2 linked regions of the Lepisosteus oculatus genome follow. The protein of the gene in region 2 purifies or fractionates together with the protein of the main gene of each other region. This does not show direct contact. Links are inferred from orthologs where the notes say so. Each region holds a gene or a part of one and is shown on either strand. Other genes may lie near its edges.

Region 1 (16,417 bases), on a different chromosome or scaffold from region 2:
AAGTTAAAGAATAAACAGCTTTTAAATATTTTAAATTCATTAAAGGACTATCTTTTCTGGTATTTTCCTATCATTTGCTGAAAACATAGTGGTCCACCTCTATACATAAAATACACAAGTGTATCAAAAAGACAGACGCCGTTAAGGATAACCAGTGCTTTTACATTTTATTAGCTAGTGGTCCAAACTGGACCGCGCATGCACAGTACGTTCCTCAGCAGGCTTAGTTGGGAATGTCGGCACTGTTATTGCGATTTCCATATTTGTGGTGTATTATCAGCAGAACAACACCCAGGAAAAAGCAGACAGAGCCCACAGTGATGTAGGCAATGCCCAAAAATGGGTTCTTTCCTCCCATCCAGGAGATGGTACTCAGGATCATTCGCTTGTGGCCTTCAAAACTGCGCACAGGGTAGTCTGAAGGCATGGTGTAAAGGAATAAAGGAGACACACAGTACAACTAGAGCATGGGATTTAAAGAACCATCCGAGACACAATCCTAAAAAACTTCAAAATAATATATATACACTCACCCTTGAGACTAATCAACCATGGTACCTTGTGACTTTAAATCTTTACATAAAAAGTATTAAGCAGATTTAGTTTCTTAAATTATCCTATCCTACCTAAAGTACATTTAAAATCAAAATTTATACAATTGATTAATGGTAGCTCTGATTCTAATGGCAACAGAGAAACAGTTTAAACATTTTCTAGCAAAAAAAATGTATAGGAAAGTACTGGAGAAGAAAAAAAAGGTTATGATGATAATCTAATTTGTTTATAGCCTGTTTATTCCTAAAAATCTGAATGCCTTAAATCTGTGCGCTTAATTAATGTATACAGATTTAACTTGAATGTTTGCAGACTCTGTTCTGGGATTTCCTTTCCTTAATATAATAGAAAGTTTCAGACTATTGTTTTCAAAGGAAAGGCTGTATGAATCTTATTTATTTAAGGGATAAAATTCCAGGTGAAGTGAATATCATTCTCATCAAATATCCCAAATTAAAACATTTACATGTTTTAAATAAGTTTCCTTTGGATCATGGAAGGTGTAAAATTGTCACCTAACACTTCCTATAACTCAAATACCACTAATTACTTCCAATTCTCTATGCAAGCAAGCAATGTTGCACGTCTTGTTCTGCAGTGGAAACAATGCTCTAAATCACAAACTTTACCACAAGGACAGCCTGCAACAGCTAGGTTTCCACCACCAAAGACGCTTTCTGCATTCCTGACCAACTCTGTAGTATTTTAAAAGAAATCTCAAGAGTCTCATTTCTTCAGCGGGAATTAATCCGCAGGCACTGTGCATGGTGAGAGGCTATTAAACATGAACTGCATCAGTAAAACTCGTTTTTTTTTTTTCAAACAGATGAGCTACTTACCTTGCATCACATGGGAGTATTTCTAGTACCAAAAAAAAACGACAATGCAGTTGGATTATTTTTCAGGAAAACACAACTAAGAAAACTCAACCTTTTTTCTTTAAAAAAAAAAACGACCTGTGGATGAAAGGATACTGTAGGTGACCCTTAAGGTGTAGTTGCCTCTAGGCAGAGTGGGAATCAGGTTGTTCTTCTTCTCGATTATGCGGTACAGTTTGCGGAATGTCGGCAGGGCTGCAGTGCGCATCCACACTATGAAGTCTTCATTGATGAAACCGTTGTTGTCCGGGTCACTGTCGAGCTCGTAGACCGGCTTGCGCCAGTTCACAGGCTTCGCAGTACCTGAGCCGGGAAAAAAAAAAAAAGAGGAAAAGGTGGCAGATGAGATGTCCACAATTTCCTTGGAGCGGCTTCTGAAGCCTATTTGAGGGTTACAGATCACGTACTGTACCTTGGAACACCGCAGTCAGGTTAGAGTTTGATCCACCCGGGTTTCTAAATTTCACATTCTTGTCTGTCCACCAGGCAATCCCCTTCTTGGACAGGTCAATAGGGGTTAAGCTGCCATTGGGGTTGTTGTAAAATAATTCCAAGGTGTCTTGGAGAGGCGAGAAAAGGAGAAAAAAAAATTCAACTTTATATTTTTGACCGTGAGGATATGTACACTCCATCAAATGCTGCTGTAAGATACAGGCTATTATATATAATATAGAATATAGCCCTCCTGTCATGGGACAGTGTTTTTCTATGCTCTGTATAAAAAGATATTACCATTAAACAGGCTGTTGGCAATAGCACCACAGGGGGCAATGGGCTTGTCTTCATTCACGCGGTACGGTTCACATTCCTTGCTGGGGTTCTGTAAAAGTAACGCATATAAACTAAAAAGAAGAAAAGTCTACATCTACTCTTAAGAGATTTCTATTGCAATGAATCATTTTTTACATTTAAATTATTAGGAAAAAACATACCTAATGCCTAATTGCAGTGAAATGGTGTCCAGTAAAGTAAGCGTTTATTTGTATTTCTTTTTGTTCTATGTTCATTTTGTTTTACCTTCTGTTACAGAAAGCTGAAGCACACTGACTGAATGGTTATACTTTGAATGTATAAAACCTTGCTTTCAAAGATTTGAAACAAAAAGAACTTCAAACTTTCCATCAAAAGCCACAGAGCTTATTTGCATTATCATTGTCACATAGTTGGGACGCTGTGGTAGTGAATCCTCTGGAACATCGAAATTGGACTAACTGTATCCTCCGTTTGCTCCATAAGCAGAACAATATGGAACTTTAATCAGAAAATATTAGATCTTCAGGTATAAAAAAAAACTGTTAATCACCTTTGCCATGTCTAAATTATGTCAAATTGCAACAATACAATGGCTTAAAGGCATTAAATACACATATACAATATGAAATACATTTACTTTGTTGTTGAGCTTCGCAAATAATTGAACATATAATTTTAACATTTACAAGAAGAAACACGTGTCTGTCATTTCAGGCACTTAATGCAATTTCTCTTCCCAAAAGGAACAAACCACATTGTGACCTCTAGCACAGACACAACAAACTGAAAGATCTAATTTTAAAGACATTATGAAAAACATACATTTGAAAAACAGGAGCAAACAAGAGAGAACCAACATTTATAAATCATTTAAAATTGTCACACAAGACAAAATTAATATTAAATATTTGTAGGTCCCTTACTTGTCAGGATCATTAATTGATTATTTAATATTATACTGAAAGTGTACATGAACTACTTAAATGTTTGCATATTTTGTTTACATATGTCCATAAATTAAGACAACAAAGTTGCTCTTTATTTCTCAATCAGTAATTAAACCTGCGAAACTGAATATGCATACAATGCTGCATTACTCTGAAAAAACTGCAAGTCAAAAATGACCAAATTCTACATACACAGTATATAGGTTTTGTTTCTAGCTTACTGGCGGTCGTGTTTTTCCAAGGGCACCGGGGACTACCCCCCTACCTTTGAAAAGCCTCTTTGAAACTGCAATATTCCGATTCATGGCCATCGCTTACCGTCAGCGAGGATTTGTCACCGTTCAGCTGGCTGTCATCTCTCGATTTCACATACCGCCTGTGATTCTGGTAGAAGTTGGAAAGCCCGTAGTACATGAAGACATTGCTCTGGAGGGAAGCAGATTTCAACAAGTGGAGTCTCGCTGCACACGAGGGTATACAACAGACAGATTTACCCAGCCAGATTTACCCAGCCAAGTCGGTGGGCTATGTGAGATCACACCCCAACGTCCTACAATATCCCCTGCTTCAGCTGAAGAGTTTATAGAGAAGGGTTACCACACAGGAAGAGGTCATTCGGCCCATCCAGGCTCCAAGGATCTCAACCAACATTTATAGTTCCCAAGAGTAATATAACTTTTCTCCACTGCTGTTCAGGGAGATGTTGTCTCAAATATCCTTAAATGAATGTGGTGCTCTGTTCCCTCCACATGTTCTAAAACAAATCTGTATCATTTTCAATTTTTTATACCAATCCTTATTATTTATTAAAATCATATCTTAAGAACTGTTTCTGTAATATTTGCACACATTCATTTTAACAAACCTTATTTAAAAATTCCTTTTGCATTGTTTTTTTTGTTTACATTTCAAGTGACTGAAGCGGTCCAGGATTGGATGTAAAATCAGCACGTCTTGGGTGAGCCTAGTTGCGTCGGTTTTCAAAATGTTAAGGTTTTTTTTTTTAAGATTGTTGTCAAACAATGCAGGGATGGTTCCTCAAATATCACTTCAAAAATCATGAATTAATTTCCTATTCGAAACAATCCTTCATTTGTATGTCAAAGCTCCCTAAATCCAGCCTCATTTGCTCACTCTAATGCCTGCCCAAGGTAAAGCATTTTCCAATACACAAGGCTGGCTTTAAGAATAGCAACACTCAATGCAGAAAACAAGGCTGAACGTTGTATTTAATCGCTCTGGGCTTACATCACCATTCAACTGAAATTAAAGTCTTGTGATACATTTACACATTGAAGATAGCATAAAAATCTTTAGAAACTCAAAATCTGCGTTACGAGTTAAGCTGCCATAAAAAGAAAGAATTCCAGTTTAACCGGCTTCAACTGAGCCTTCAGAAACGTATTTGATCAAAGGGATTTTTCTGGTTTACTCCAAATTAACAGGATAAAACGTCAGGGGAGAAAGTACGGGGGAGATAGTGGAAGAGGGGGTAGAGAGAGAGGCAGAGAGAAAAACACTATCAGCCTCCTCTTCCTCTAAACAAGGTGAGGACCTTGTTCTCATCAGTCTTGGACACCAGCTACTGGCTAAGTAATGCAAAGCCTGTTTTCAGACAGCTTACTGTCCTATTTATTTTTAAAATTCTGAATTTCTTTATTGTGGATACCCAGGCTAAAGATGATCTCTTCTAGTTATGGTGAAACATTGTTTGAATGGGAAGACAGAGTCCCCTTAATTTGGGGCCATCCATGTTGTAGGACGGCAGATTTAGTGCTGGGTCATACTCTTATTCGGGACACACGTTTCATCACTCCTGCTGGCCAGTCAAACTGTTACGTAGGATGTCAGACTAAAGGGCTAGCTTTGTGTTTCTGGGTCTATAGAACATAGGTCTCTGAGACATGCTGATTTACATATAGTGAAACCTTTAATGTTTTAGTTAGGCTGTATGTTTTGTGTTTGTTATTCAGTGTGGCCGATAAATATTTGTCTGCTCATGGTTACCTCTGAATTATTACCAGAGCTGTATCAGAGAACTCACGTGACCAGATTAGACCTACTACTCAGATTTGATTATCTGATTTTGCACTCTCTTGTCCTGACCATCCCTAGTCTGTAACATCTGCATTAGATTTAAAGATATCAGACGCTGTGTATCTAAATAGATTTACAATGACCGTCTTTCAGTTTAGCAATCCACAAAACACTGTAATAAAACATCCTTTAATCTAAAGAACTTGTGTCGATTTAGTAGTTTTGACCTGTTTAACTACCCAAAGCATGTTAGAGCTTAATCATTTATAACATGTATTTAGCTTTAATTACTAATATAACAGCTGGGAGGCACAAAAACTTGATAACATGTTGTCAGAAAATGAGGATTTAGACAATTTACAGAACAAGCTACTAATGACCATCTGAGATAGGCGTCTGAGATAGGCTTAACAACCTCGTTAATAAACTTTTCTTGTGTTAAACATTCCCCACTTTTTATTTTCAAGGCTAGATACACTTAGTCACAGTGAGAGACATGCAAGTGATTTGAGGTGGTTTAAAGTTTGCAGTCAATTAACATACACAATGGAGAGTTAACTGATTATCACCTCCTCTGCACCCAGAAAGCAATTAACAGGTATCAAAGGTAGCATAAATAAAACAATTAACATTTAAAAAGTAAATGCTTCTTGCGGTATTTGGGTTTAGCAAACACATAAATATTAAAAAGTACCAAGCTTATGTATAATTAAAAGCTGTCACAGATGATGCATCTTCCAGCAGGCTTGACTCATTAATCTCACTGTGACTGGGTTTCCAATAAAAATACTCTGCATTAAGACAGAATGAAAAACTGAAAAGAAAGAAAACTTTTGGGCTCCTAGAATGCACTATTTTCACATACAGCTAATAATTACACGACTGGGTTAATTTCAACCAATGTAAAATTCAAAGGTGAATGTTTTTCATGAATCAAACAAAAGTCATCCATTTGTGTCTCAGGTGGATCTTGTGCGCATCACTTCCAGACCTAAAATTCCATTGCATGAATTATTCATTGAGAAATAACTCTGATTCATGAGTGCTGCTGGGCTTTGGACATTGTGAGCATGGTTAATAGCAGCGCAAGCAGATGAGAATCTGGAAGCTCATCTGAAAAGGCACCTCAGATGCTGTCCGAACAATTGACATTTAATCACTAAATGTAAGCCAATACATATTCTGACAGGACATACGTTTTACACATATTCCAGCCAACTACTAGTAATTATTCTCTCAGTGCTCATGCACAGGAATTCCCTAAGGAGAAATTAGTTATTTCTCAAAAAATATACCAATTTAAGGGTGACACAGCAGTTCAGCAGTTAGCACTGTTGCCTTGCACTGCTGGAGCTTGGGTTCGACAAGATCTGTGTGGAGTTTGCATGTTCCCCACATGTATGTTACAGGTTTTCTCTGGGTGCTCCAGTTTCCTCCTACAGTTCAAACACATACTTGGGCCTGGTGTGAGCATGTGTCTATGTCTGCCTGCCATTGACTGGTGTCCCATCCAGAGTGTATCCCACCTTGCTCCCCCACGACACCGAACCGGACACAGCGGTTAGAAAATGGATGGAAAAGATCTGTAAAATGGCGCCGACAGGGAAGGCTGCCGTCCTGCGAGCTCCCATTCATCCTTGTCTATTTCTTATTTGTTTTGTTTTTCGTACTGCTAACTGCACATACTGTTTGCTCGGTGATTAGATATGACCGACAAACACTTATAGACATAAGTTTGAATATTGGCACAGTTCAGCATACTGCACTACCTGGACATAATATATTGCATACACCATGGACACATAGCAGCTCTATTCATATTGAGGTTTATTCCGTTACTAGTACATTATTATCTATTATCAGGTAACCTTATTTTTGTAACCTTAATTTTGTGATTTTTGTGATTCTTGAAATATTTCATTGCCAGCAATTATTGTTGTGCATTTGATAAATAAACTTTGATTTGATGTGGGTGGATATTAGTTTGCATCTCATAATATTATAATTGTCCCATCCAGGGTCTTTCAGACTTCATATCTCGTCTGCCAGCGCAGGCTCTGGCTCAACATGACTCTGTACTGGACTAAGTGTAATGGATGAAGTTACAGTTACTCTAAAACTTACACATCACTTCGGTCTTACCTCAAAGGGCTGGTCCAGTGTAAAAGGGACAGAGCACATACAAGGCTTTGTGCTGTTCCAGCTGTACGTCTGAGAACAGTTGAAGCAGGGACTAGACATGTCAATGCCAGTGTAATCAATCTGGAATATAGAAGGCACAGCTATTACTAGGGGATAATCAATCAGCTCTTAAGAGACAAGAAACTGGTTTACGTACTTGCAAGAATTCAATATGGAACAAAACCAGCTGTAATCACTTACAATAAGATCAGTATAACAATATTTTAGCATTGTTCACAATAATGAAGAGATTAAATGGACAAAAGGATTTGAAATTACACTTCTAAAGTATGCCTTTAAGAGAAGACAATCAGAGTGCAGTAATACACACAGCTCCACGTTCATTCTTCTGCAGAGCTGAAAGACATACAGAACTTGTTTTGTTACTGTAACCCACAGCATAAACCGTATGCCTAAAGTCTACACATGCCTGCAAACCAAATACTGTACCTGCTTTAACTATTTTAAATGCAAGGAAGGCACTGAACATAATGGCATTCTCGGCATTCTCGGATTGAACATAATGGCATTCTTTTACACGGACGAATGAGCCAACAGAAATTCAATTACCTTTGCATATGCCTTCTATGTTAAGATCAAATATTTACTTAACCTCACGAAAACTACCGTGGCAATACATCAGAGTGCAAACTGCACTAAATATACACCGGTCATACTGAAAGAGCAAAACTGATGTCCCTATACTGAACACACTTCGGCGCTTAATTCTGAAGAATCAACAGTGTTTAGAGTATGGCCATGAACGTTGCAACATTGAGTGCTAGTGCATTTCAACACACCAGAGACGCAGAAATACGTTTTCACACCCTTCATCATACCTAACAAAAAAAATCACTACATCGAGGTTGGGCGAATGCAAAAAAATACTGAGTTATATACAGTAATAAAAGTTCATTACTGAATAACACTGTAGAAGACTGGTGCCGAGACGATAATGTGTTGATATCCGAGTGTACACAGAACCGCAGGCTGTAGTGTATCATTCAGAGACCTGCAGCCCCGAAACCGCTACAGGTGATTCGCAGTACCCCCAAGACACCACGCAGTTACCCCTTAATACTGTGCTCATGCCAACACCGCCGTACCTCGAATTCTTTGATGTTGTTCGAAGTGACGAAGAGCCCGATGCCGATGGGGATGAAGATGAGACCAATGACGAAGAAAGCGGGCAGCACCGTGCCCGCGGTGAGGATGGGCTGCCAAGCGGGCAGCCTTTGCTGTTTGAAGGCTGTGTTGTCCGGCTTCTTGCTCTTGATAGCCCCACCGCCGCCAGGCCCGGAGGCCCCGGAGTGGTGACCGTCTTCCTCCTTTGCGTTATAGCTAGACGCCATCATGGCTAATATCCCGTTTCGCTGCACCACCAACACAGAAACCCGGAGAGAAGAATTACGAGGACGAGAGGCTGCGATCGGTGAAACACCGGCGCCCTAAACTACATGTATGTAGTTCGTTACGATGAAAAATTATATCAATAACGATACTCCTTTAACCTTTAAATTCTACCCCCCCATCAAGGAAAAGCAGCAGCGACTAAATAAAACCAGGAAGCTTCTAAATCCCAAACACGTAACGTGCGTGATGACGTCTGTTAATCGCAGAGCGGACGCGCGATGTTCCTATGGGTGGTATTGGGGAAACTGAGAGTTAATCGCGCTAAAAACACTTTAGGTTTGTGTGTTTAATGTGTTCTACAACAATTTATTTTCTTAAGATAAATTTAGTAATAGAGTGCATGCAAATTTCTTATTGTCTCTCACACAGACTTTATTTGACTCTTATGTTTTTTCTTATGCAGAGCGCCAAAGCAATAATGCATCTTTGCGCTTTATGAAGTTACCAGTTTATGGCACATTGTGCAATTCCTTATTCGCCTCGGGCGCTGGCAATCCGCCATTCAGCTTGTCGCTAAAGCGTTTAAGGAATACATCTGTGTGATAAAATGTCATTTTGCGACTGTGATCGATGCAAGAGTAGCAAAAAAAAATCCCAGGATAAAGTTCTTCCGTGCTTTCTCCTCTGGTACAGTATTATACATTATGAATAAACCTTTCATGCCGTGTATTTGAATCAGGTCCCTTTTACTGTTTGAGATTACAGAGGTTCTGTGCGTTTCAGTCAGTCAGTGTAGAACAATCCTTAAAGCTCGAGGTTGTGTCTGATTTATCTGCACTAATTCCAGAGCAAAAATACGCAATTCTTGTAACGCAGTGAACAATACTGTACAGATAGTACTGCGAGTGCGAATTAAGTCTTGCTAGTGCATTACATAATTTTAAAGTAACAGTAAAGTCAATCTAAACTTTTTTATTGCTTTGCCACACTGTCAAGATTGAAATGTTGTGTCAAGATAACCACCTTATTTGTTTTTCATAAGTGGCCTCTTCAAGTTCAGAATTTCACAGTTCATGTGTTCGCTTGAATTTGTCAATGGAAATGGAAATTTTGAGTTTCCATTAAATCTTCTACAGTGTTTGATGATCCTCCTATTTTGGTAATATCTGCAGTCATCTACAGTTTACTAACTGCAGGGTAGGAGTGTGCAGTAAGTGGATAGAGTTTTGGACTTGAACTGGTTGTTGGTTCAGATCCCCGGGAGAGACACTGCTGCTGTACCTTTGAGATTAATAATAATAATTAATTTCTGGACACTCCACTCAAAGTGGTTTACAGATAATGGGGACTCCCCTCCACCACCACCAATGTGCAGCCCCACCTGGATGATGTGATGACAGCCATTGTGCACCAGTACACTCACCACACATCAGCTATCAGTGGGGAGGAGAGCAGAGTGATGGAGCCAGTTCAGAGATCAGGTTTATTAGGAGGAAATGTGGATAGGACACCAGGGTAACACCCCTACTCTTTTTTGAGAAACGCCATGGGATTTTTAATGACCACAGAGAGTCAGGACCTCAGTTTAACGTCTCATCTGAAGGACGGCGACTTTTTACAGTATAGTGTCCCCGTCACTATATTGGGGCATTAGGACCCACATAGACCGCAGGTGACACTAACACCTCTTTCGGCAGCAACCTTAGTTTTTCCCAGGAGGTCTCCCATCCAGGTACTGATCAGGCTCACACCTGCTGAGCTTCAGTGGGCTGCCAGTTGTGAGTTGAGTGGTGATATGGCTGCTGGCTAGATTGTTCCAGCTGTATATAGTGGTGCAAATATAAGTCTCAGGATAAACGCATCACCCAAAAACATCAATATAAACTCGATTACAATTATATCAACATATGTATAGAGTATATAGTGTAAATAGAAATGGTCCTCAAACAAGTTAAAGAAAATAATTGTTAAAAATACTGAGACATACCAATTGGATCCAGGGACCCCACTGAAAACATATTCTACTGGCATGGCAATAATCAGGAACAGGTAAAGGTTTTGACTGTGGAGCCTCCTTCAGGTGTCGTTTTTTTACCTTTCAGCGTGGAATCAACCTCTGCATGTTCCTTCACTGCCTACGCATGCGGACGCAGCTCTCCACTTGAACTTCATGGTAATAATCACGGGATGGGATGAGTACCATCGGGTCATGGCAATCCTATGGATAGTTCCCCTGTCACTATCCACAGTTTTCATGGCAGGATACAGAAGTAGATTCCAGGCCTTTCTTCCACACAGATAGCGCGAGCGTTGTTGCCGTTGTCACGGAAACGTGATCCTCCGCCGCCAACACCACCCCACCCTGCTGCTGCCCAGTATGGGTTATTAGACAACCTGGCGCCCGACTTGGGACACGAACCCACTACCCTGAGATAGATAGATAATACTTTATTAATCCCGTAGGGAAATTGATGTGTTACAGCAGTCCAGACCAAGACAAGCAAAACAGACATCAGAATAGTTATAAAACAAAAGACAAACAAAATAAATAAATACATAGGTGAATTAGATTAGGGGGTCTCATGCTCTACCCACAGAGCTAGCTGGGGCTCTGGTAATAATCATACTGGCATGATATGGTTTCAGGTCTGCTAAAATATTCCAGACCATGCCTTTCTGGAATCTTCCATGCTGATCTGTGTTCTCTAATGAAGACTTTCTACACCAGCGGTTCTCCTTTCTGGCCCTGGGGGACATCTCCGCCCTTGGGGTTTTGCTCCGCCTGGTTGTTGGAGTGATTGCTCCATCTTAATCCCAGTTTTCATTCAAGACCTATTTAAAATTTGCGTTCAGCTCTCAAAAAGGCGAATAGGAATTTGTAATTGGCTCCAGCCTTATACTAATTAGTGAGTTCCAGAAGTGACCTCATTTCAAGTGTGTTTCCTTGAAATATGACTGATTGGACAAGGAAAAACTCTCAGTTCATGAAGGAGTGTTTTGTATATTGATATATTATCATTCCCATGTGCATCTGTTCATTATAAAACAGTCACCTATTCAAGCTTGCATATTACTTTATGTATATATAAGCTTTTTAGTTAGAAATAAGGGAACTTACTCAGCAAGTTCAGGAGAGATTTCATAAAGTTTTGTAGAATGTTAGAAATAATACACTGAAGACTTTAGTGTTTTTGAAGCCGAGGCCTAAACAAGCAAGCAAATCAGTTACTGGCACCAGTTTGCACTGGTGTTAACCCAGCTGAAGCTGAAACCACAGGACCAGAACCGATAACCACTGGTCTATACTGTTAAAGCATATGTGAGAAAAAAGGAGAACCAACAATAATAGAGAAACCAGGGTCAGTGTGTTGTGTTTGACATGGTTACTTGACAGGAAAACCATAATTTAAGGAGATTTCATCACCTGGCAGCAGAGGCCCTTGCTGGAAGGTTACTGTTGCTGACAACATGAAAAATCACAGCCTAATCAGCCTCCATCATTTTTGTTTACAGTGGAACAAGCCTTGCACGTCAACGTTCAGAGTTTAGAGTTGAATTCTTCGAGCACCACGCATTTGCAACCTGACATGCAGTCTCTTGGGGGACAATCGTAGTTTTCCTTAAGTTGTAATGATCTAAAGTGAAACAGGAGGAGGCTTAGACACCTGTGGTCAATTGATCCATTGTCGTACCACCCAGAATTAGGGGGAGAAGGAGGCCTCAGGCTGTATTTCTCATTGTAGCTGACATCACCGAGCCTGTGACGAGCGCGGCTCTGCCCCTGCCAGAATTTGATCATGGTCGCTAACAGGCAACGCCAGCTTCAGGGCCTCACGGTCACCGCCCGCCAGAGAGCAGTGAATTCTGCCTGGAAGAAAGGTCAGATTCCAGGGGTACCCAGGCTCCAAGAAGGTGATGTCACCTTCTGTAACAGGCTCAGTGCTGGTAATGAGTCCTGCTCCACACTCACTAAAGGCATTAGTGACATGGAGGATCCACATTCGGTCCAGTTTAGAAGCCACCAATAGACCATCAGAGCTCGTTAGACTGCAGACACAGGGAGATAAACAGCAACCTGACAAAGTGCCTCACAAAAATGTAGTATCATGCGTCTCAGGGTAAAAAGTCCATACTGGTGCCAAAGTTGCTCATTAAGACAGAAATTATTCTTATTTCTGTCTGCATCATTAAGCAGACTAGAGAGCACATACCACCCCCTTCGATCACACACCAGACTATTGCAGGGATTATGCCCCCCCCCCCACAGCAACACAGTTTCCCATTGATACAGCTGGGTGGACCGGAGCAGGCAGGTGATTTGATCAAGGACATAACAGCAGTGTCTGCAGTGTGGACTTGAACCAACCAACCTAGTCACCAACCATGAGCCCAAAGGCTTACCCTGTGCACAGCTCAGCCCCATGAATCCCAGGGTTGTTGACAAGGATATCTGAACGGTATCTAGTGAAATGTGCTCTGCCAAAAGCCAGGAGAACCAGCTCTGCAACTGAACACTTTATATCAGGAGACCAGCACTGGTTGTGTTGAGCCCAAATCCGGTTCATCCTTCATCGTTCTATTGATTGGGAGTCCTGGTGAGGTATATATTAATTACACAAGTAAAAATGTTTTCAATAAAGGGACTTTGGTAATTATGGGTTGAAGGTTTCAGGTTCGTCAGATTTTGTTTCAGTAAATCACTTAATTCACCCCACAAAAAAAAACTAAATGTTTTTTTTAGTTGTTCTTAAATTTAAGTTTTGTAAATTTTCAAAAGTTACAATTTAATAAGGATCTATACCACAACCCTGTACTGGATAAGACTAATAAAAAATATAGATTGATATTTTATGAATTAAGACCTGTCCAGAGATAGAGTTGGAGATAAATATATGGCATTGCTGCAGAGCAGGTTTATTATATGACTTATGTATATTTTGTTCTTAACATACTGTACAAGTCATTAATCTGATATGGAAACACTCTAAAAAGGAAGAAAATAAAAGTTCTAATTAGATTAAAATTAAAATACAGCTACATATTTGTCTTCCATTGAAGACAGTGGAATGTGTGCATGAATACCACACAAATGCATGTCTCTCTCCCCACACATACACAGACAATCCATTACTGTGGAACTGTTTGACTCTGCTTGCATCCAATAGCATTATTGGAGTATGATGGTTAATATTGGGTCTTTACACTTATGTACCTTAAATAAAAAATGATCCTAGATACAAGGTACTGTACATATAAATGTTTATTCATTACAACAAATATAACTCCAAGCAGTTCATTTTATTTAAAAAAAAATGTTTTATTTGTAGCTCCCCATCATGTGACTTTGTGTACGAAGAATTTGCAAGCAGGGTTCTCAACCCTGATCATTAGGGTGCACAGTCTAAATATGAAAAACAACTGTGGAACAAGGTTATCTCGTCAGTTCTAGCATAAATCATTAACTTTTTAGAAAATACCACTAAAACAAAGGTCACTAAGTTCCCCCTGTGCTGACAGAATTCTGCTGGCAAGGAAATTTTAATTTTAATAATTTCCTTTAAAGATTGCCAAGCACACCTATTCATTTGTGTGCCACCTAGTTGGTAAGTTGTTTTCGACAGCTGTACACAGACTCTATGAATGAGGTAAGGATGCTCTGTTTTCTAAATGCATTTGGATTCATATTTCCATGATGTCTTCCAGTGTCAAATTTACAAAGGTGATGTAATTTAATTTAGCCAGATTTATGATGATCTGCAACAATTCACATATGTTTACTAAATTATAAAATTCCTTAAACCAAAGGATGACAGTAACTAAACTGCAGTTCATCAATTTTATGAATTACATGACGTAATTTTAGTGTTACAGCTGTGTTGAGTTTCAGATACGCACTTATAATCCTAATTGACCCTGGGATGGTGGATCTGGATTAAGTCAAAATTTCCACTCACTCACTAATCTTAGATTGCAAACTTACTATTTGAAGGATGCAAATTTTCCCAGGCGGTTCCTACTTCTGTCCAATAGATGCTCAGCATCAAGTACTTAGTTTTAATTTTGTGAAGATTCTTATGATTTGTTTTAGTCAGTTTCCAGGTCTGGAAGTTAAAAACAAAAAGTTTTTATTTTCTCAAATATAGCCTTTGACTAGTAAAAATAAAATTAGGTTTTAGTAACATAAATGCACACTTCAAGCATTCGTGTGAGTCATTGAGGCTAGATTAAATTTCTTACAGTTCTTTTACAGGTTTTTTAGGAGATCCTGTTGATAAGTCTAGCCAATTTTAGACCTAAGGCTAATTTCTTTAAAAACAAATGTGTAACAGTCCATCTTTTGCTAAATGCTTACATTTTACTTGTTTTATTTGGACAAAGTTGATAAAATCACTTTTTAATTATTTTACAGAAGGGAGAAAATACTGATAAGAATATGACAGAATACAAAGCAAGCCATATGGTATTTCCGATTTGTTTTATTACTAATACAGTACATGAGTCTACTGTAGGTCTGTGAGGCAATGTCTACAACATGTTGTATAACGTCTTCATAGTCTTCACAGAACTACTTGCATAAAGAATTGCCTCCTATTCTCAGTTTTAAATTCAATATCCCTCAGTTTTTATTTGTGTCCTCCTTTCATGTCTCACTATTGATCTTCCAGAAGTCTTTGCTATCCGTTGAGGGTTCTGAATACAATAATTAAGTCTCTTCGTACTGTAGTATTTTTCATTTGCGACTTAAAATCAAAAGTTTCAGTTCTTTTAACCTGACAATGTCAGACATTCCTTTAAGTCTGGCAAGTCTCACTTAGACTGATTCCAGAGCAGTAATGTCTCTTTCATAACATGGGGACTAAAATTTTGCATAGTGTCCTAAATCAGGTCTCGTTATTACGTTGAACAGTTTAAAGATAGCATACTTTCATTTAAATTCTACACCTTTGAGTACTGTATGTAGCATAACATAACATTCTGTTTAGCATTTTATTGCTTCCCAGCATTGTCTGGAGGGGGAAAACGATTTGTCGATGTAAGCTCCCAAGTCTTTTTCATAAGCCACTTCTTAATGGTTCATTTATTTTTTACTCAGTTTATTTCTTGCTTCATACATGTAACACTGGAAATGTGCATTAGACGACATGTCATCTGTCAGTCCTGAATCATTTCTTCATGCATTTCTTTAGCAGCTTCTACAACTTCCTGTTATTTTGGGATCATCTGCAAACATGACCAGTTTACTAAATGTACTTACTAAGTCTTAAACCAGATACTTCTAATTCACTATTGATTACATTCAGCCTTCATCTGTACTCTCTCTTTTCTATCCATTGACCCCTTCTCAGACCAAACACATACATATCTATACCTTTGATATCTCCAGCCTGCCATTTAAGAAATATTATTTTACCTGGAACTCGATCAAAACCTTTTATAAAATCCAAATATACCATCTCACAAGCTCTTTTTGAATTAATTCCTACTGTTTCTTTTTGAAAGATGTGTAACAGGTTTTTTTAAGTAAGGCCTACATTTACTAAATACATACTGATCACCCTCTAGAATAATTCTACCATTGTGAGAATCTTTTAATGTATGTCTAATTCTCATCCTCTTATAAAACAGAATTAGAGCTGTCAGGACAAAAAGGATTCTCCATCCCTTATGTGCATGCATGCTACACTTGCAATTTTCCAGTCAATAGTAATGACC
Region 2 (16,714 bases):
CTGTTCAGAAAAGAGTGAATCACTGAAGAGTACAAAACGCAGGAAGAACACAGCTGGGCTGCCAGTTAGGACCTCACTTGTAGCAGCAAGCAGAGCCTCTGGGAACCATCACCACCCCCCGTCCGCTTTCCGAAGACGCAGAACGGCTGCGCGGACACCCTCAGCGCTGCACGAGAGGGCTCACGGACCCTGACCACGACACTGCTGAGCTCAGGGACGCTGGCTGCTGCTCCAGTGCTCCAACACTCCGCTCACTCCCCAGGGGATGTATTTATTAGGCTTTATCCGATGCGGAAGGACTCCGGCTCTCCGATTTCATTAACGGGGGGCAGGGGCCAGCCGGGAGACAGGAGAGATGTTGAAGTAAGCAATTCTGTCCTGATCCCCGGGTCCAGGACGAGACAAATGGCTGCAAAACGGATCTGCAAAGCTGTCATCAATAAGCACCAGCCTCCCCTGACAGCACCGAGTATAAATCAGGAAGCAGCACAGGCGCAGGCTGCGTGCCCCCACCTGGGAAATCGTGCACCGCCCGGGGTCACCACCACAGGGCTCGGTCCCTCTCCCCCCTAGTCGGGCATGAGGCGCTACTATGGTCTGGGATGGTTTTTTGTCCATCAGCGCGCACACACACGCACGCACACACACACACCCTTCATACTACAATTTGAAAACGAGCCATTGTCAAGGGGGGCACTGCAGAGGCAGAGTGTGGGTGGCTTTTTGCTAAATAAGACCAGCCCATTTCCCCTCTCACCACCGATTCCTGCAGACTCTCACTGGCTGGCTGGCTAACCGGGGAACTGTGTCCTAGTCACAGCAAACTTGGCCGAACGCGTTTGTATTCATAACGTCTTAGGTGAGGAAATGGCAGGAATAAATACAAATCACTGATTGAACTTGCCTCTTGTCACCCCTCCCAGACTTTTGTTCTTAACTCCTTTCGACTGCCGCTGCCTGCGCGAACTGCAGTCCCCCACTGCAGCCCACTGGCCCGACCGAGAGGGGGCAGCCTGACACCAGTGCCATGACCGACCAGCTGACACGTTTACAGCCCGTCTGCCATAGTGCGTGGAGTGGACTAGCTCACACAGCACATACGGTACAGAAGCAGACAGTGCGCTATAACCAGCAATCAGCTTTCCTTTATAAATAATTCAAAATGGAAGACAAATTAATGATGTTATGCAGCTAGTTTTATAGCGTGCAACAACCAAGAACTGTGGCCATCAACCAAGCCTGGTAAGTACTGGTCTAATTATAGAAACGTTTAAAAAGCAGAACTCATTTCCCACATGCAACCTGTGGTTTCCTGCAGAAACAGGAACAGGGAGCCCCTCATGCCTTTAGCAGCCCGGATCCCAACATGGGACATGCACAAGGGACATGTGAAAAGTCCGAGTCGCTCTGACGGGAAGGTCTGGTGAAAGAGGCTGTTGAGCACGCTCATCGGCACGGTCCAGCTTTCACACCCAGCCCTGCCAGTGAAGCTCAGCCTCCAGCAGCTAGGCCACAGCCGTAAGCAGCTAAAAAGGAAGGCGGTTTCTAAAAAAGAGTGCCCCGCACTGTCAATGTACCACAGCCTGTGAACAGGAGAGTCCCAGGCAGGGACAAGAGCACAGGGCTGCTTTTCAGAGCAGATAAGGAACCACTTGAAGAACAAAAGCGACTAAAAATAATCAAGAAGCAGAGGTTAAAGACTGGAAGTGCTTGCAAGCTACTACACTTAAAACCACAGTCACACATCAAACACACGTGGTGCTGGCATGAAACTCCATAATTAACAGTTGGGGAGACAACTTTAGAACTCCTCGGGGGCTGGACTTCAAATGTCTCTTCACAAGAGCTCCAAAAGCAGGGGCTCGGCATTTAAGACCCGTCTGCTCTGGGCACTGCCAAACCATTTTTCCCCCCCCACTAAAACAAGGTGGGAAAGACCCTTCTTTACAAAACGCTGGCAGTGAAACAACTGAACGGGAAGGTTTTTCCAAAGCAGGACCCACAATGACTTATGACTGCACTACCCAGTGGAAGCAAACCCATACCCAGTTTCTGAGGACCTGCTTGAAACAGAAACCACCACATCTTCCTCAGGGGCAGGAAGAGGCGACAGCAAAAAATAAAGAGAGCGGGAGGGAAGAGTCGACTGTCCCAGCAGGTGAGGGCCTTGGGAATCCTGTCTTTTTCTTTTCTTCAATGTGTCCCAGACATCCTGGGCATTGAATGAAGGGCAATAAGGGAAACCCATCACCATGAAATAAATATAAAATACGAAATAGCTCCGACCTCCTTCTTCCTTTCAATTGTGTCAATTCTGCTGTTTAAAAAAATCTGTATTGATAAGCGAAAAAGAAAAAGAAATCCGACCTGGGAAGACAGGGGCCAGCAGAGGATTTCGGATTGGGCCTGTGATTGTGCTGTGCATCTCGGCCAGTTCACCAGCTCAGCTCGGGCTGGCAGGAGGCTGTTACCGCTGCGGTGAGATGCCGGGACCCAGGTGCGCAGCTGAGGGCCTGTGATCTAGAGTTCTTTCAGGATCGATAATAAGAATGATGATCCTCTTGCTACCCTTCAAAACACGACGGGAGACTGCAAACTGAGAGATGCTCATTGTTCAGCTGTGCAGCAGCTGGTCTGTACAGGACACCTCTCTAACTGACCATGCCAGGCCCCTACGGCCAGATCCCCGCTGGGCTGGGCTGGGCTGGAGGGGGTGAGCCCGCCGGGCTGGGCTGGGCTGGAGGGGGTGAGCCCGCCGGGCTGGAGGGGGTGAGCCCGCCAGGCTGGAGGGGGTGAGCCCGCCAGGCTGGGCTGGGCTGGGCTGGGCTGGAGGGGGTGAGCCCGCCGGGCTGGGCTGGGCTGGAGGGGGTGAGCCCGCCGGGCTGGAGGGGGTGAGCCCGCCAGGCTGGGCTGGGCTGGGCTGGGCTGGAGGGGGTGAGCCCGCCGGGCTGGGCTGGGCTGGAGGGGGTGAGCCCGCCGGGCTGGAGGGGGTGAGCCCGCCAGGCTGGGCTGGGCTGGGCTGGGCTGGAGGGGGTGAGCCCGCCGGGCTGGGCTGGGCTGGAGGGGGTGAGCCTGCTGGGCTGGAGGGGGTGACCCCGCCGGGCTGGGCTGGATGGGGGGTGACAGGAGGAAGGCCGCTGCGGGGAGCCCGAGTCCCCCCAGAGTGAAGGGCAGGGTGAGCACGAGGGCAGCTGAACGGCCCATCGAACCCCTTCACCTCTTTTGGTAGCCGACTGATCAAGGGATCTCAGCCAGCCAGTTCCCGACTCCCACTACCCTTTGTGTAAAAAAAAAACACACCCCCTGTTTTCGTATTTAAATGAAGTGCCTCCTGCCTTTCAACCTAGGTCTTACTCTTCACCCCGGTGACTGAGTCACCAAAAGCCATTTCTGTGTGTGTGTGTGGGGAATGGCAGAAAAATGCTGATCCAAGAGCTTCTTGAAGACACTGCTTGGGCGGCTCCAACTAAAAGACACTTCCTCACGCTTCTGCGGCTCTGCCCAGCTCGTGCATTTAAAACTCACTGAAGGGCCGTCGCAGGACTTATTACAAGAGCCATCTTGTGCTGAAGATCCTCCCCTTTCATGTCAGAAGCGCTGCCCAGCTGCCTCTCCGCAACACCGCAGCTCTGTGCGCATGTGAGGCATGCAGCATACTTCAGACAATAACAAAGTGCGCTGATGACAGCAGGGCGGCTCTGCCGAACACGTTGTTCATCGCTCCTGGAATTTGCAGGGGCACGGGCCGATTTCAATAAAAGCTGAGCTGGCGTTCAAGACAATTTTCAAGAGCAGAGAGAGCCCGTGCCGTGCTGTGACCGGTCTGGTTTGGCTCTGGGAACGTGCTGGAAGGCAGCGACAGTAACGCCCCGAGCCCAGGTTCAGCCCGCTGTAAAAAGAGGGCGCTGAAGGCACGCATCGCCCATCCATTTTCTGCACCTCTTCGTCGACCACAGAGCCGGAGCCCGGGCCTGGCGAGCAGTGGGCGCACTCAGGATGGGACGCCAGCCCACTGCGGGGCACACACAGACCCACACATTCACTCCAGGGCCACCCGCCCCAGAAGCCAGTTAACCCACCTAGTCTTTGGTCTGCGGGAGGAAACCCGAGCACCCGGAGAAAACCCACGGGAACATGGGGGGGGAACATGCAAACTCCACACAGACAGCAGCCCAGGGCACCAGGGCTGCGAGGCTCATAACCACCACGCCGGTCCTGTAAGAGCGAGCGAACATCACAGCCTGTGCCCATCGCCCTGCCACAGAGAGAATCGCTTTCTTCCGTCTGAGGGCATGCCTGAGCAAACCGAACCCTGAAAATGGCGGAAACCTCCGCTCACAATCCTTCCTCCTTCAGCCCTGGGCTCCCCCTCACCCCGTTTACCCCCTTAAAGTCTGCAGGCCGGCTGCAGCCTGGCAGTCCCCCTGTGATAATCACCCGCACCAGGGTGGAACCCAGCGCTCCTCTCCAGCGAGCGTGCAGCGCTGCCACCAGGCCCGAGGCCCGAGGACGGAGGCCCGTGTTGACTTCCCAGCTGCTAGGAAAGCCAGGCGTCTAAATTTTTATCTTAGCACACCGTCTTGCGCAATGTCCCGCAGTGCTGCTGGACGCCACCCTGCTCTCACGGGGGAGCGAGCTGGACAGAGAGCACCTAGAAGAGACCTGCTCGGGGCAGGCAAGCTGGCCCTGGGGTTATCTCCAGGGCAGATCTGGGCTGGCCTCCTCCCTCACACACATTCACAACCTCTCTCACAACCGCACACGAGCACCTTGTGTGACTGTCTGGCCTCCTCTCCTCTCTTCTCCTCAGGTGCTTCTTCCTTACTCTAAGGCTCTTCGAGAAGCCACTTCTAAAGGGGCTACACAACAAAGTTTATTATTATTATTATTGCAACCTCGGAAACAGAGCAGTAAAGGCAGTAGAACTCCCTGGAAGCGCCCAGGTGTCAGGTCGCAGCCAGGTGTGTTAAATGAGCGCTCAGGACATCTTCAGGGGCGCCAAAAACAAGCCAGCCAGGAGGTGGGGGTAGCTTAGAGACACCAGCACTGCCCAGCAGTGACCGCAACCTGAACGCTGAGCTGAGACCTTGTGGTTAAACACACACACACACACACTGCCGCCGCCTGCCCTGGGAAAGCACGCAAACCCGCGCTGCTGGACAAATGGATCAAGTATAAATTAATTAACCGATCAATTAATCGTTTTAGAATTGGCTGGCGCGCACAAAGAGGCCCAAACAACGGGACGCTTGAGTAAGAGGCGACTCCGGCTCTGGGGTAAGTGACAGCGGCGCAGGGCAGTAATTACTGCGGGGAGTGGAGTGACTCACACCCCCCCCGACACCCCACTGCGCTCCGTGACAGGCGCTATTCTGGCCGCGTGCCTCGGATTGTCACGGAATTACCAACTTGTACCAACAGGCAGCTAGAGCTGGGCTTTTGCTTTTTTTTTTAAAAAAAAAAAATCAAACCCAGTCCATTCAAGGCAGGGTTCTCCATCTCCCACCGGACACCGCCGAAAGCAAAACCCGACTTCGCTGCACACACGCCGGCACACAACCCACCCGCCTCACGCACCAGAGCGGCTGGGATGAGACGCATTACAGTAAACCAGCCACACGACTCAAAGGACGAGAGAAAGCGCGCAGCCCTGACGGGGCGAAATGACAATTCAGTCCTGATCGAAGGGCAGCTATTAAGCCGCATTAGGAAATTAAATATTGAACAGCGCGGCGTAGCAAGAGGCGGCACAGCGAAGTTATCTTTAATCGTCTCTTCCCTGTTCGACTGTGTAGCGTTCCCCCGGGGAGAGAGGGATCCGAAACCGGCGACCAACGAGCCCTCGACACGCACACGCGTGGAGGGGCTGGCGGCACGCGCCCCTGGCAGGCGGGCAGGCTGTCCGTCACGGGGAAATAAACTCAAGGGAAGACATGACGCGGGTTCCCGGAGGAAGTTGCAGACACATTACAGCCAGCTGCGGCTCGGGTCTGCCACTCGGATGACTAGAAACGCGGCGCGAAACGCAGAAGGGGCGACTCTGCTCGGAGAGATACCGACTCAGAGGCTACAAATCCCGAGAGCAGCCCCTCACGATGATGGATCGCCATGCACCCGTGTGTCGGCAGTCTTCCTCGTCTTACACACCGCGCTGTGTCTGAAGTCGAGGTACAGTCTAACGTCGGGTCTCCAGTACCTACCAGCCGGTTGAACCTCCTTCGCAGCATATTGCAGCTTCTGTCTCCTCCTCGGCTCTTCTTTTTTCACTTGGTCCGAAGACACTAGAACTGCAGTTTCTTTTGTCTCGGGGTGGTGAGGGCTCGTCCTCCGTGGACGTGTGAGTGCCTGCGCGTCTCCCCTGCTCCGCTCGCTGGATCGCCGCGGCTGTGCTACATCACAGCTGTGTCCACGTCCATGCCGATTCCGACTCCCAAACCGTCCTCTCCCACTGATTTTCCGCGTTGCGGGCTGGCGGCTGTTGCTGCTGTCCTCCCCTTACAGGCGGCTCGGCTGCATCTTTCTCGGCGCCCTGTTGCTCACCCGGACGCATTCATCGCACACCAGCCTGCTTCCCCAGCGGGCGACGTATCAACCGACACGGGCAAATAAAAAAAAAAGACAAAGTTTGGATCCGAAGTCCAGCACAGTCCGGCTACCACGGCAAACTCCCCCCTCCCCTGTTCCCTGTCAAACAATCTCTACCCTCGAAGCTACCACTTCCACTTTCTGTAGCGCCGCCCCCCGACGCACGGTCGTCGCTCTGCATCATGGGAAATGTAGTTCCCCGCAGATTCTGCTGCTGGGACAAGAAAGTTCACAGAAACTTTCACAATCAGCCCGTGATAAAACCATCAAACCGATTGCAGGGGCAATAAAGGGAAAGAGCATTCCAATCTCTTTGTGTCACTGTCACGGAGGTTGCTTGTGAACCACTCTGATCCGTTTATAAAAACAACAGTCTGTAAATACGGTAAAAATAAAATATAAAAAAGTATTTTTCGTTTTTCTTTTTTTACCAGCTCCTGGTAAAAAAGCTTACAGTAGCAGTTAAAGAAATGGTCCTATCTAGATTCTGAAGTAGTACTGATATTCGTATATTTTAAAATGATTCAGTCTCAGGGGGTAAAGAAAAATATCTCCTGAAATATATTTGAAAAATCTACCAATATGAATCGCAAAGTTTCAAACGAATTGTTTTCAGTTGATTTGCATGAATAATATTTGGTGGAATAACTCATGCTTCCACCCTGCAGCCCCAAACACGGTCTCGATGGCGCAGGCACAGGCGCTGAGCGGAGCAGAGGACCGTCACCACCCCCGTCTGAGAGGAGCCCCAGTCCTGGATCACGACGGCCCTGTGTCAGCCAGCCCCCTCCAGGACCAGCACGCCCACACTGGGAGCCCCCCGAGTGGGGCTCAGCACAGACATCCTGCACGTCCGCAGACACCCATCGCACAGCGGCTGGAGAGGGGACCTGGGGGGTTTCCCAGGGGTCACGGCAGAACAGCAAGGGGCCCCGAAATAAGGCGACCCAGACTCCTGTCCCTGCGTCAACCCGTGTTCACACCACACACACGCAGTACTTGTGTGCATCTGTGTTTGTGTGTAATACCTGCGTCAACGGCACTTGATTTCACACACACACACAGACACAGACACACACAGACACAGAGAGAGAGACGTGCAGGGTCAAAGTTTAATCAACAGTAAGAGTTCAGAGACATGCCAATCCCCTGTGTATTCCAGTGTGGCTTTGAACATGCATTCTAAGGTGAAGTCTCACTGAATCTCACAATAACCTTGGAGATACAGTATGCACAATCCGAACACCTGTGTCATAACCCCACCTCAACCACCAGGCCTGAAACTGAGAAGACCACGGGGGGGGGGCCTAATCCGTCAATTTAGAGTCCTTCAAGACGTTGGGATTCCTCAGTGACAAGTGGAAACTACCTGGAAGTGCATTTAATACAGAGAACAGGAGGCACTTCTTTACACAAAGGGGTGTGGGAGTGTGGACCGAGCTGCCCTGGCTTCTTTCAGAAAACGACTAGACGAGATTCTGAAGTCAATTAGCTACTAACTAGCAAACAAGCTAGACAGTCCAGACAGCCTCTCCTCGTTCCTCTCTTATTGTAGCAAATAATACCTAAAGATATGTCCGGGGCTCTAAACCGATGTGAAACGACTTGGTATTTTAAAAAACAAATGTCTCCAATATATTCAGTCCTCTCAAAAATAAACTAATGAGATAACTTTCTGTCAGTAGAAGGTATTTCAATTTTTATGACGTGAAATATTTCCAGATCGCATTAAATGAAAAGTTCACTGGAAAGAGAAGAAAAGTAAAATGTGTGATTTTGTTGTACACAAACGTTAGGTACAATGATTTTAGTTTGCTTTTACCTCCCCGCCGTGGCCTTTTTAGGTACTGCAAAACCTTCCCTTTATTTCGCAACTGAAGGGAAGTAATGACATTTCTTCCCCTTTGACAGGCGTTTTCTGCAGGTTTCCGTGTCTGTCTTTACGAATAGAGGAAACACTGATTTCTCAGTAGGAAGTGAGACAGATGTGCAAAACGCCTCTTCCTCGAAATCGGCGTTATTCTCCCATAAATACAAAAGCTAGACTTGGCCGAGGAAAAAGGTGGATCATCCAGGTGGGGCTGCACATTGGTGGTGGTGGAGGGGATCTCCATTACCGCTTTGAGTGGAGTGTCCAGAAAAGCGCTATATAAGTGTAAGCAATTATTATTATTATTATTTTAAAAAAGCTCCCCTGCGTGGGTATTACTATAAAATGATCAGTAGGGGCATCAAATCGAAGCCCTAAAGTATATAGGGTATAACCCCGACGTCCTGGCCAAATTTCCCATTGGCCATAACCAATCATGGCCTCCTAATCATCCCCATCTATGAATTGGCTTCATTACTCTGCTCTCCTCCCCACTGATAGCTGATGTGTGGGGAGCATTCTGGTGCACTATGGCTGCCGTCGCATCATCCAGGTGGGGCTGCACATTGGTGGTGGTGGAGGGGAGACCCCATTACCTGTAAAGCGCTTTGAGTGGAGTGTCCAGAAAAGCGCTATATAAGTGTAAGCAATTATTATTATTATTATTAATTATTAAAGAATAAAATCCTTTCTTGTACCTTCTACATTTGTATTTAGTAAATCCGTTCGGAAACTGAAGACTTCCTTGGGTATTTGGGATGATAACGTTGATGTCAGCGCTGTTTCCACCTCGCTGGAGCTGAGAGCCGATCTGTCAGGCTCTCCAGACGCGGCTGTGAACGGGAGGGGCGCGGAGTGACAGGGGTGACAGTGGAGATCTGGTCCTGATCGGCCTCGTTTCAGGTTCGGCTACCCGTGGAGCAGAAAGGACCGGGGGAGGGGGGCTCAGGGTGAGAGCAGGGCGATATTCCTTTTTAGTATAAACACCGAGGCCAGGGGCCGGCTGTCAATCAGGCCCCCCAGCCCCGCGCACACCTTTCCGGGAGCAGGAGACGCCTGTCTGGGCGGACAAGGGCGACTCGGAAGAAGTGTGCTGAACGGAGCGTGAAGAGGGATCGCAGGAAGACCCACCAAGGGTACGTGAGTGACACAGCTGCAGTTTGGCAGCTTCAGGCGTGCGGCCGCATACCTGTTGCTCAGAGAGGGAACCTGTGCCGGGATAGCGAGACGCAGATCCTTTTCGAGAGATTTATAGTCTTAAACAACAGCACATTTTGAAGCCGAGGGCTAATCTAACATGCTCAGGGGGAAGCAACTATTTTCCTTAATAAGGGGACCAAAAAGACACAACTTTGGCTCTGACCTGCCTTCTGAAGTCGGTGGAGAGCCCAGGTCATTGCTGGAACAGCTTGACCTGAAACCCCATACACACAGAGTGAACCAGCAGCTTTTAGACTTATCAATCAGAAAGTACTTAAGCTGAGTAAGTGTTTAATGTTAATGTTTCTTTATTAGCCCTCTACAATTTCTTACATTAGGAATTCATCTTTTCACATACCCCAGCTTTTCTCCAGGGAGACACAGACACAGAGACAGGGAGAGAAGCTGGGGGTCAGAGCGCAGGGTCTGCCATTGTACGGCGCCCCTGGAGCAGTTGGGGTTAAGGGCCTTGCTCAGGGGCCCAACGGAGTAGGATTCCTCTGCCGGCCGCGGGATTTGAACCAGCAACCTTCCAGTCACAGACACAGATCCTTAGCCACAGAGCCACCGCTCATTAATGCCCTGTTACGGAGAGCCACTAGTCTGCGCCGACACGCTGTTGAAAAGCGGGCTGATATACCCCAGCGAGGATACACACAGTGAACACCTTGCGGAGTGCTGTCACCACGGTAGGGTCAGAGCACACGCCGCTTCTTTGGAGAGGTGAAAAACAAACTTTAGTGGCACTGGTGAGAGGAAACATTCAATCCCTTTAGGCTGTACACGACAAGACAATGCTTGAGTTTCATCTGGGTATTCAGACTCCTGAAAGGAGCAGAGAGCTGACCCCTGGGCTGTCAGTCTGAAAGGAGTACACCAGGGTTACAGGGACTGGAGATCGCTCGCAAGCGAGGTTAGGACAGCAAGGCAAGGCGCTACTCCCTTCGTTTGGAAGTAGAAGACCGTGTTAATCGATTGTCTGGGGTCCTTCATCCAGCGGCTTGATCTGTCTTTGTGTCAGTGAGGTGCCATATGAACAGATTAGTCTGAACGCGCCTTTCCTGTTTTTTTGCACGGCGCTAATGATCACTTTGCGTGTGTCTGCTTTGGTTTTAGGCGATCTGCTTTTGTACATACCGTAGTCCAGCGCAGCGCTCAATAAGAGCTTCTTCCTTTTACAATATCCTTGTTTGTTACCGCAGCACGCTGGAAATCGTGAGGCGCAGAAAAACCTGTTCCTTCTAAATACCAACGCCTTTAAGTGAAGCAGATGCAGATGCACAGAATGCCCAGAAGGTGGCAGCCTAGTAACACGTATTACATTACAGGCTTCTTGTTTTGTGTAGTATTCAATCAAAAAGTCCACTGAGAAAAAGTCACGGTGACTAAAAAGGCCTGAAGCTACTGGCTAGTTTAATGAACCACACTTCTGTCTTAAATGTGTAAGAATTCTGAACAATGCCACTTTCACAGTAAGTCCGGAGAGCAGCTGAGCCAAAACACGTGGTCAAAGTAACCACAAATATTGAATTGCGTCTGTGTTTCAGTCTTGAGGACTTGTGGCAGTTCTGAAGTGATCGCTGTCTTTAACTGTCTAACTAACGTGCTGATTTCGAAATATCGAGTGTTTTCTTCCTACGTACTTTTAGTCATTTCAGTTAAAAATTCCTCCCCTATTCAAACTAGCATTTAGCAGTGAGAGTCAAGACAGTAAAGGAGGCTCTCAGGTGCGCCTCGTAGGACCAAAACCATAATCTTGGGACATAATGGAGCCAAGGGGCTGTAGGTAATGATAGGGTCTGTGTTCACAGCTGAGCTCGGGTACTGAGTGCACAGGCGTCACAAGAGCTAGGCTTTTTTAAGAACTGTAGTCCTGTTTTAACAGAGAGAAATGCACTGAATTCTTCAGGTTTCTGCATTCAGGTTCCCATAGATAGTTAAAGCGATATATTTTTGTCTGAATTCTGAAAGAGTTCTGATATGTATATAATTTTATACACAATTGATCATGATCATCATCATCATGAACCCCACCAGCCTTAAAAAATGAAAAAGATTAAAAGAATCAGAAGACAAGATATAATTCCAGAATGCAGGTGCCTTCATATTTATGTAGTTTACTTGCACTTTTGCATTTGGATTCTGTACTTGACACTGAGAGCTGAACTAAAGAACTAAAGTTCTTGTCTTTATCCCTGGACCTTCAAGATCTGAAGTTGTGCTTGTCGCAGTCCCTGTCCTTTGACAATGTTTCTGCAATGCCAGCAAGCTGCAGTCACACTCCAGAGCTCGCAGACATGGAGATGGTTCTGAAGCTGTGTTTGTTTGCAGTATGAATAGCAAACTACAAGCATGTGTCGGCGTACAAGCTTAATAATAACTCTGAGATCGCGTTGAACTTCTAATTAGTTTAAATGAGCACAGCGAGGTACTGTCAACCAATTGACTTATTAACGCCACAGGTATTTTCCAGTTCAGATTGTGAGCTGTAGGTGCTTGAGAACAAACTCTGTTGTTGTTGTTCAGGCCTCTGGTGGTGGAGTGGAAGTTAAGGGCTCATTCCTGCACTGCCCCTGCTCTCCCGGGGAGGCCGAGAGAGACCCGGCCATCTGTCCGCCTCCCTCCTCCCTGCGCCGCCCCCTTCCCACACTGCCCCTTTGTCAGCGGCACTTCCTGTCCTGCTCCTGGGCGTGGCGCGCCGAGGGGCTGGCAGGGGCATCTGTGGGCGCTTTGATGGGCACCTGCAAGGGGGGGAGTCAGAGAGGTCCTTCGAAAGACAGATTGAAGCTTTGTGCACGGAGGCAGCGGGGGGGACTGTGTGTGTGGAGGAGGGTACGCTGTCACTCCAGCCTGTGTGGGTCCGGGCTGGAGCAGGGGGGGCAGGAGAGATTGACAGCTTTTGTGGGCTGAATTTCTTTACAATCCCCCTGAATTAATGGGCGTTAAACTAGAGTGAGGACTTCAGGACGGAGGTAAATGGGGGAAAGTGGTGGTGGCACTGGTTTAGGATGATGGGATTGTGGGGGGGGGGATGAGGGGGCAGGGGGGCTATTTTACTGCTCTGCTGGGAAGGGACCAATTCATAGGCATTCAGCTCTGAGCTCGTTATTCTTTGAATGCGCTGAGCGGAGGAATGCAATGGCATCAATTAGAATGTGTTAGCAGATAGTGAGTGAAGAAAAAAAAAACTTTCCTCTCTCCTTTTTCTTGCTGGACAACACAGCTCCACTATAGGAGGTGTCAGTGCCCACAAAGCCTTTTTGTGATTTTCTCTCCATTACATTACCAGCGCAATATGCAAGGTGGTGATTCCTTTGATTTAAATTAAGTGGAAAAACCACTAAATCCTAGTTTTATTCAGCGGAGATAATAGCACTATACTCTATAAAGGTCTCTAAGTACTTATCTGTTGGTTAAAATCTCCCCTTCTCTTTTTCACTCTCTGCCTCTGTTTTCACCGTTATTAGTTTTATTCAATAGTTTGGGTCACAGAGAGCCTGTTTAAGAGTGGAGCTTGTTGTGCTGCCTGCCATATCTCTTTTAATTGCAAGTAGTAATAGGCAGCAGTTTTGCTGTGTTTTCCCCCCTTAAAATGGATATGAATTAAAACAGTAACTTAGAATCTATTGTTTGTCTCAGACCTAGGCTCCCAGCTTCAGACAGCCAGTGAATCGAACCCTGAACTGCCACGTGTCACAGTGAAACAGCTCCGTCTGCCTTGTCCTGGATCAGAAAAAATAAATAAATGGGTGAAATGATGATGAAATGCCACATCCGTCTTTCTGTCTCACTTCTAACCCCTTTCAAAAGGGGAGAACGGGCAGACAAAATGTTTAAAGCTGCCCTGTTTCAGCATAGCCCAATTAAAGCATGAAGTACAGTGTTCCATCTGAGCAGTCCTGCTACAATAAAGGCACTGCTGGGCCTTGCAAACAGGCCTCATCTGAGAAAGCAACGTTTTTTTCCTTCTCTGGTGTTCTGCTGATACGAAGCAATGTTAACAAAGACACAGCAATTGTTGTTACAGAGATGCTACTGGGGAACTGTCTGTTAACATTCACCAGATAGGCTGTCCACAGCGGGCAAGATGTTGCTAGATCCTTGCTTTATGAGCCACCTGAGGTCTGCTATAGCCATTGCTGCCTGTCGATACCCACCCAGGACAAAGCAAATCGCCATGCCTGGACTCAGAGGAATGACTGCAATCACGAGCCATAGCCTTTAATTGAGATAATGTCCCTTCTTGGACAGACAAGCATGGTAGGTATGATTTAATATATACACCATTAAAATGTGAAACCTGGACTATTAGGTAGGCCTCCCAGTTGTAGCAGTGTGATCCAAGCTATTTCAGCATCAATCACCTTCCATCTAATAGTACAGCTGTCGCATGTCTTTAAAAGGGTTTGCATTAAAAAAATCCTTATTTGACAGTCTCTAGGTTTAATGCAAGCTAACTAGTGTGAACCTCCTGTTGAAAATGGCACAGTTGAATATGAGTAATTATGTTTAATTTTTTATGAAATAAGAGAAATTTACATCCGATGAAAGGCAACTGGAGCTTAACTGCAGTGAAAGTGCAGTAAATTGGTGGAAACGTTGGAGCTCGCAGAAACTCAATTACAGTGTAATTGTATAATTGTACCAGAACGGCTATAAATGCAGTTCTCAATTAAATTCACTTCTTTTGCAGCGCAAATCAGGGCTAAATTATGAAAACGCCTCGTGTCACGATATCGTTAGAAACTGCCTCTTTCACGGGATCATTTGCACCAAAATAGAATTTTATTAAAAAAACAGATGTCTTCATACATCTTTGGATTACTTGCTTCTTCATCGGTTCTAATTAACATGGCAAAATGAAAGCTCCTCCTCGAACAGGCACCTCTTCCTGCTCAGGCGGCTGCTCGGGGAGATGAGTGAAGATGTTTTCCGAACACTAGTTGATATAAACCCCACAATGGGCTTCATCGGAGGTGCGCAGTGCCAGGAAGAGCTCTTCCTCTGTCTGGAGTACACCGTGTTGCTCCCACAAAAGCCCCGCCAGTATGCAGCCCATGAATGCCGAATAATTGCTGCCGTTTTCTTTTTCAGCAGCATGCGGCTGAAGATGCGCAGGGAACAAAATGGAGAAAAAAAAAATGGTTGAACAGAAGTTAGCTGGCAGAAACTGACGCCAAGTCTGGGTACCTCTGCCTCTGAGGTACAGAACTGACGTCTTTATTCTGCTTTGTAGCTTTGGGCTGGTGGTTTTATGATCAAGCGACTTCGCTTTGTACCCACGGACGCGGGTGGTTGTTTAACCGGGGTGGTCTGAGACCGGCACCCTGCTCACTCCTGCTGCTCACCGCCATCTGAACCCACAACCTGATTTCGAGTCCACAGCCCCAGTCTCTCCTCCGAGTCCAGAAATCAGCAATACCAAATACCAGTCACCAATACACCAGTGTGCAGCCCCACCTGGATGATGCTCCAGTCCTCTCCCCACACACCAGCTCTCAGGGGGGAGGAGAGCAGAGTGATGAAGCCAGTTCAGAGATGGGGATCATTAGGAGGCCATGGTTGGTAAAGGCCAGGGGGAAATTTGTCCAGGACACAGGGGTAACACCCCTACTCTTTCTGAGAAGCTCTGGGAAATCGTTCCCCTTCTCTGTGCTGCCTCGGGAGCAGGTGTCTTATGAAACACCTCCGTGGCCGTGCCAGAGCAGAGCAGGGCAGGCCGAAGCCTGACACAGTAAGGGTGCCTGTGGGGCTGGCTCCGTTTGGCAGGGCTGACTTAACACGGGCTGAAAGAGCCGTTTCACTCTCTGCCCAGCAGGAAAGATCTGGTTTTGGAAGACCTCTTTCAACGGCTGAAGGCTGTCACAGTGGATAAGTACTCAGCAAACAGCGTGAACAAGGATTTGAACCAGAAAACCAACAGAGCCTTGACAATATTGTGACGGGGACTTGTCTTCTTAGTGGGGGCTGAATAGTGAATAGAAGCCAAGAGCAAGTTCACACTCACAACAGGATACGATACAGTGTTGTAGGTTAGTGGGAGTCATACAGTTGAAGATTAATAAATGCTTGATGTCCAAAATTTGTTTTATCAAGAGGTATCATCAGCTGTCAGTTCTTAGAATTAGGAATAAAGGGCTTATGTGCCAGAAATTGCGACTTTGGTCATTGTCTACAAGCCTTAATTCTCTTAATGCTAAGAAAACCTGTAACACTCCACAACACCGTCCTGTTGTCTTTCCCTGAAGCAAATGTTTCTGTATTGCAGCAGAGCCGGTGACCATAATTATTCATGTGGAGACAATCTCCCGAGTCCAGGGAGTTTTCAAGAGAAGACACAGATACTGGACACTGGAGTCTGAACTATTCTCTCATGCCTCAGTATTTCCCTTGCAGGGTCAGTGCCCTCTGGCCAGGGATTAACACACATTAAAGCAGAGCAAAGCTGCACATGTACCTGTGTTGCTGGAAGACATATCCATTTTTCTGTCCAACACCTTTTTTCTTAGAAACTTAAAAGCAATCCACTACTTGTTACACAGATAATTACACCTAGTGTTTAAGATGAAATGTTTAATCATGCCCTACACTTTCTAATAGAGATAAATGAAAAAAGAAGTTTGATGTACTAACCCTAGGAGGTGCCTGGAGGAAGTTACTGCATTAGAGCTCTACATCCTCTAATACCTTAATCCACTGTAGAAAAAAAGTCCAATGTATTTGATCATTAAGACAGGTTTGTTTTCACTTCTCCTGAGCAGCTGTTAGAACACCTGGTTGTAACGAAGGAGATGCCTAGACTCCAGACCTCACACACCACTGAACGCCCTGGTTTAGCCCTGGATTACTGCTCGAAAAAATCTTCTGCACTCCAGTTAATAAGATGTCATTACCAGCTAGTAATTAAACAATACAGGGCCTGTGCAGAAAGATTATCAGGCACAAAACAGAGGACTGATTTACAATCCTCAATTAAAAGTGGTGGGGTAATATTTAATTCAAGTTAATTGATCGGTCAATTGATTCATTGATTGATATTTTAAATGGTAGATGATCATT

The links.
Region 1: the proteins of atp11c (region 2) and cell cycle control protein 50A purify together in Homo sapiens (co-immunoprecipitation; 4 studies listed by BioGRID and IntAct, with this or other methods). This does not show direct contact. The link is inferred for Lepisosteus oculatus from reciprocal best matches to the Homo sapiens genes ATP11C and TMEM30A.

What each region holds. Positions count from the first base shown.
Region 1 is NC_090697.1:9,264,929-9,281,345, reverse strand, and holds the start of cell cycle control protein 50A, read right to left. Parts: upstream 8,950-16,417; 5' UTR 8,707-8,949; coding exon 8,458-8,706; intron 7,433-8,457; coding exon 7,313-7,432; intron 3,560-7,312; coding exon 3,452-3,559; intron 2,254-3,451; coding exon 2,166-2,253; intron 1,993-2,165; coding exon 1,846-1,992; intron 1,737-1,845; coding exon 1,530-1,736; intron 418-1,529; coding exon 224-417; 3' UTR 1-223. UniProt on the Homo sapiens protein: Accessory component of a P4-ATPase flippase complex which catalyzes the hydrolysis of ATP coupled to the transport of aminophospholipids from the outer to the inner leaflet of various membranes and ensures the maintenance of asymmetric distribution of phospholipids.
Region 2 is NC_090703.1:49,679,379-49,696,092, forward strand, and holds the start of atp11c (phospholipid-transporting ATPase IG), read right to left. Parts: upstream 6,718-16,714; 5' UTR 6,228-6,717; coding exon 6,201-6,227; intron 1-6,200. UniProt on the Homo sapiens protein: Catalytic component of a P4-ATPase flippase complex which catalyzes the hydrolysis of ATP coupled to the transport of aminophospholipids, phosphatidylserines (PS) and phosphatidylethanolamines (PE), from the outer to the inner leaflet of the plasma membrane.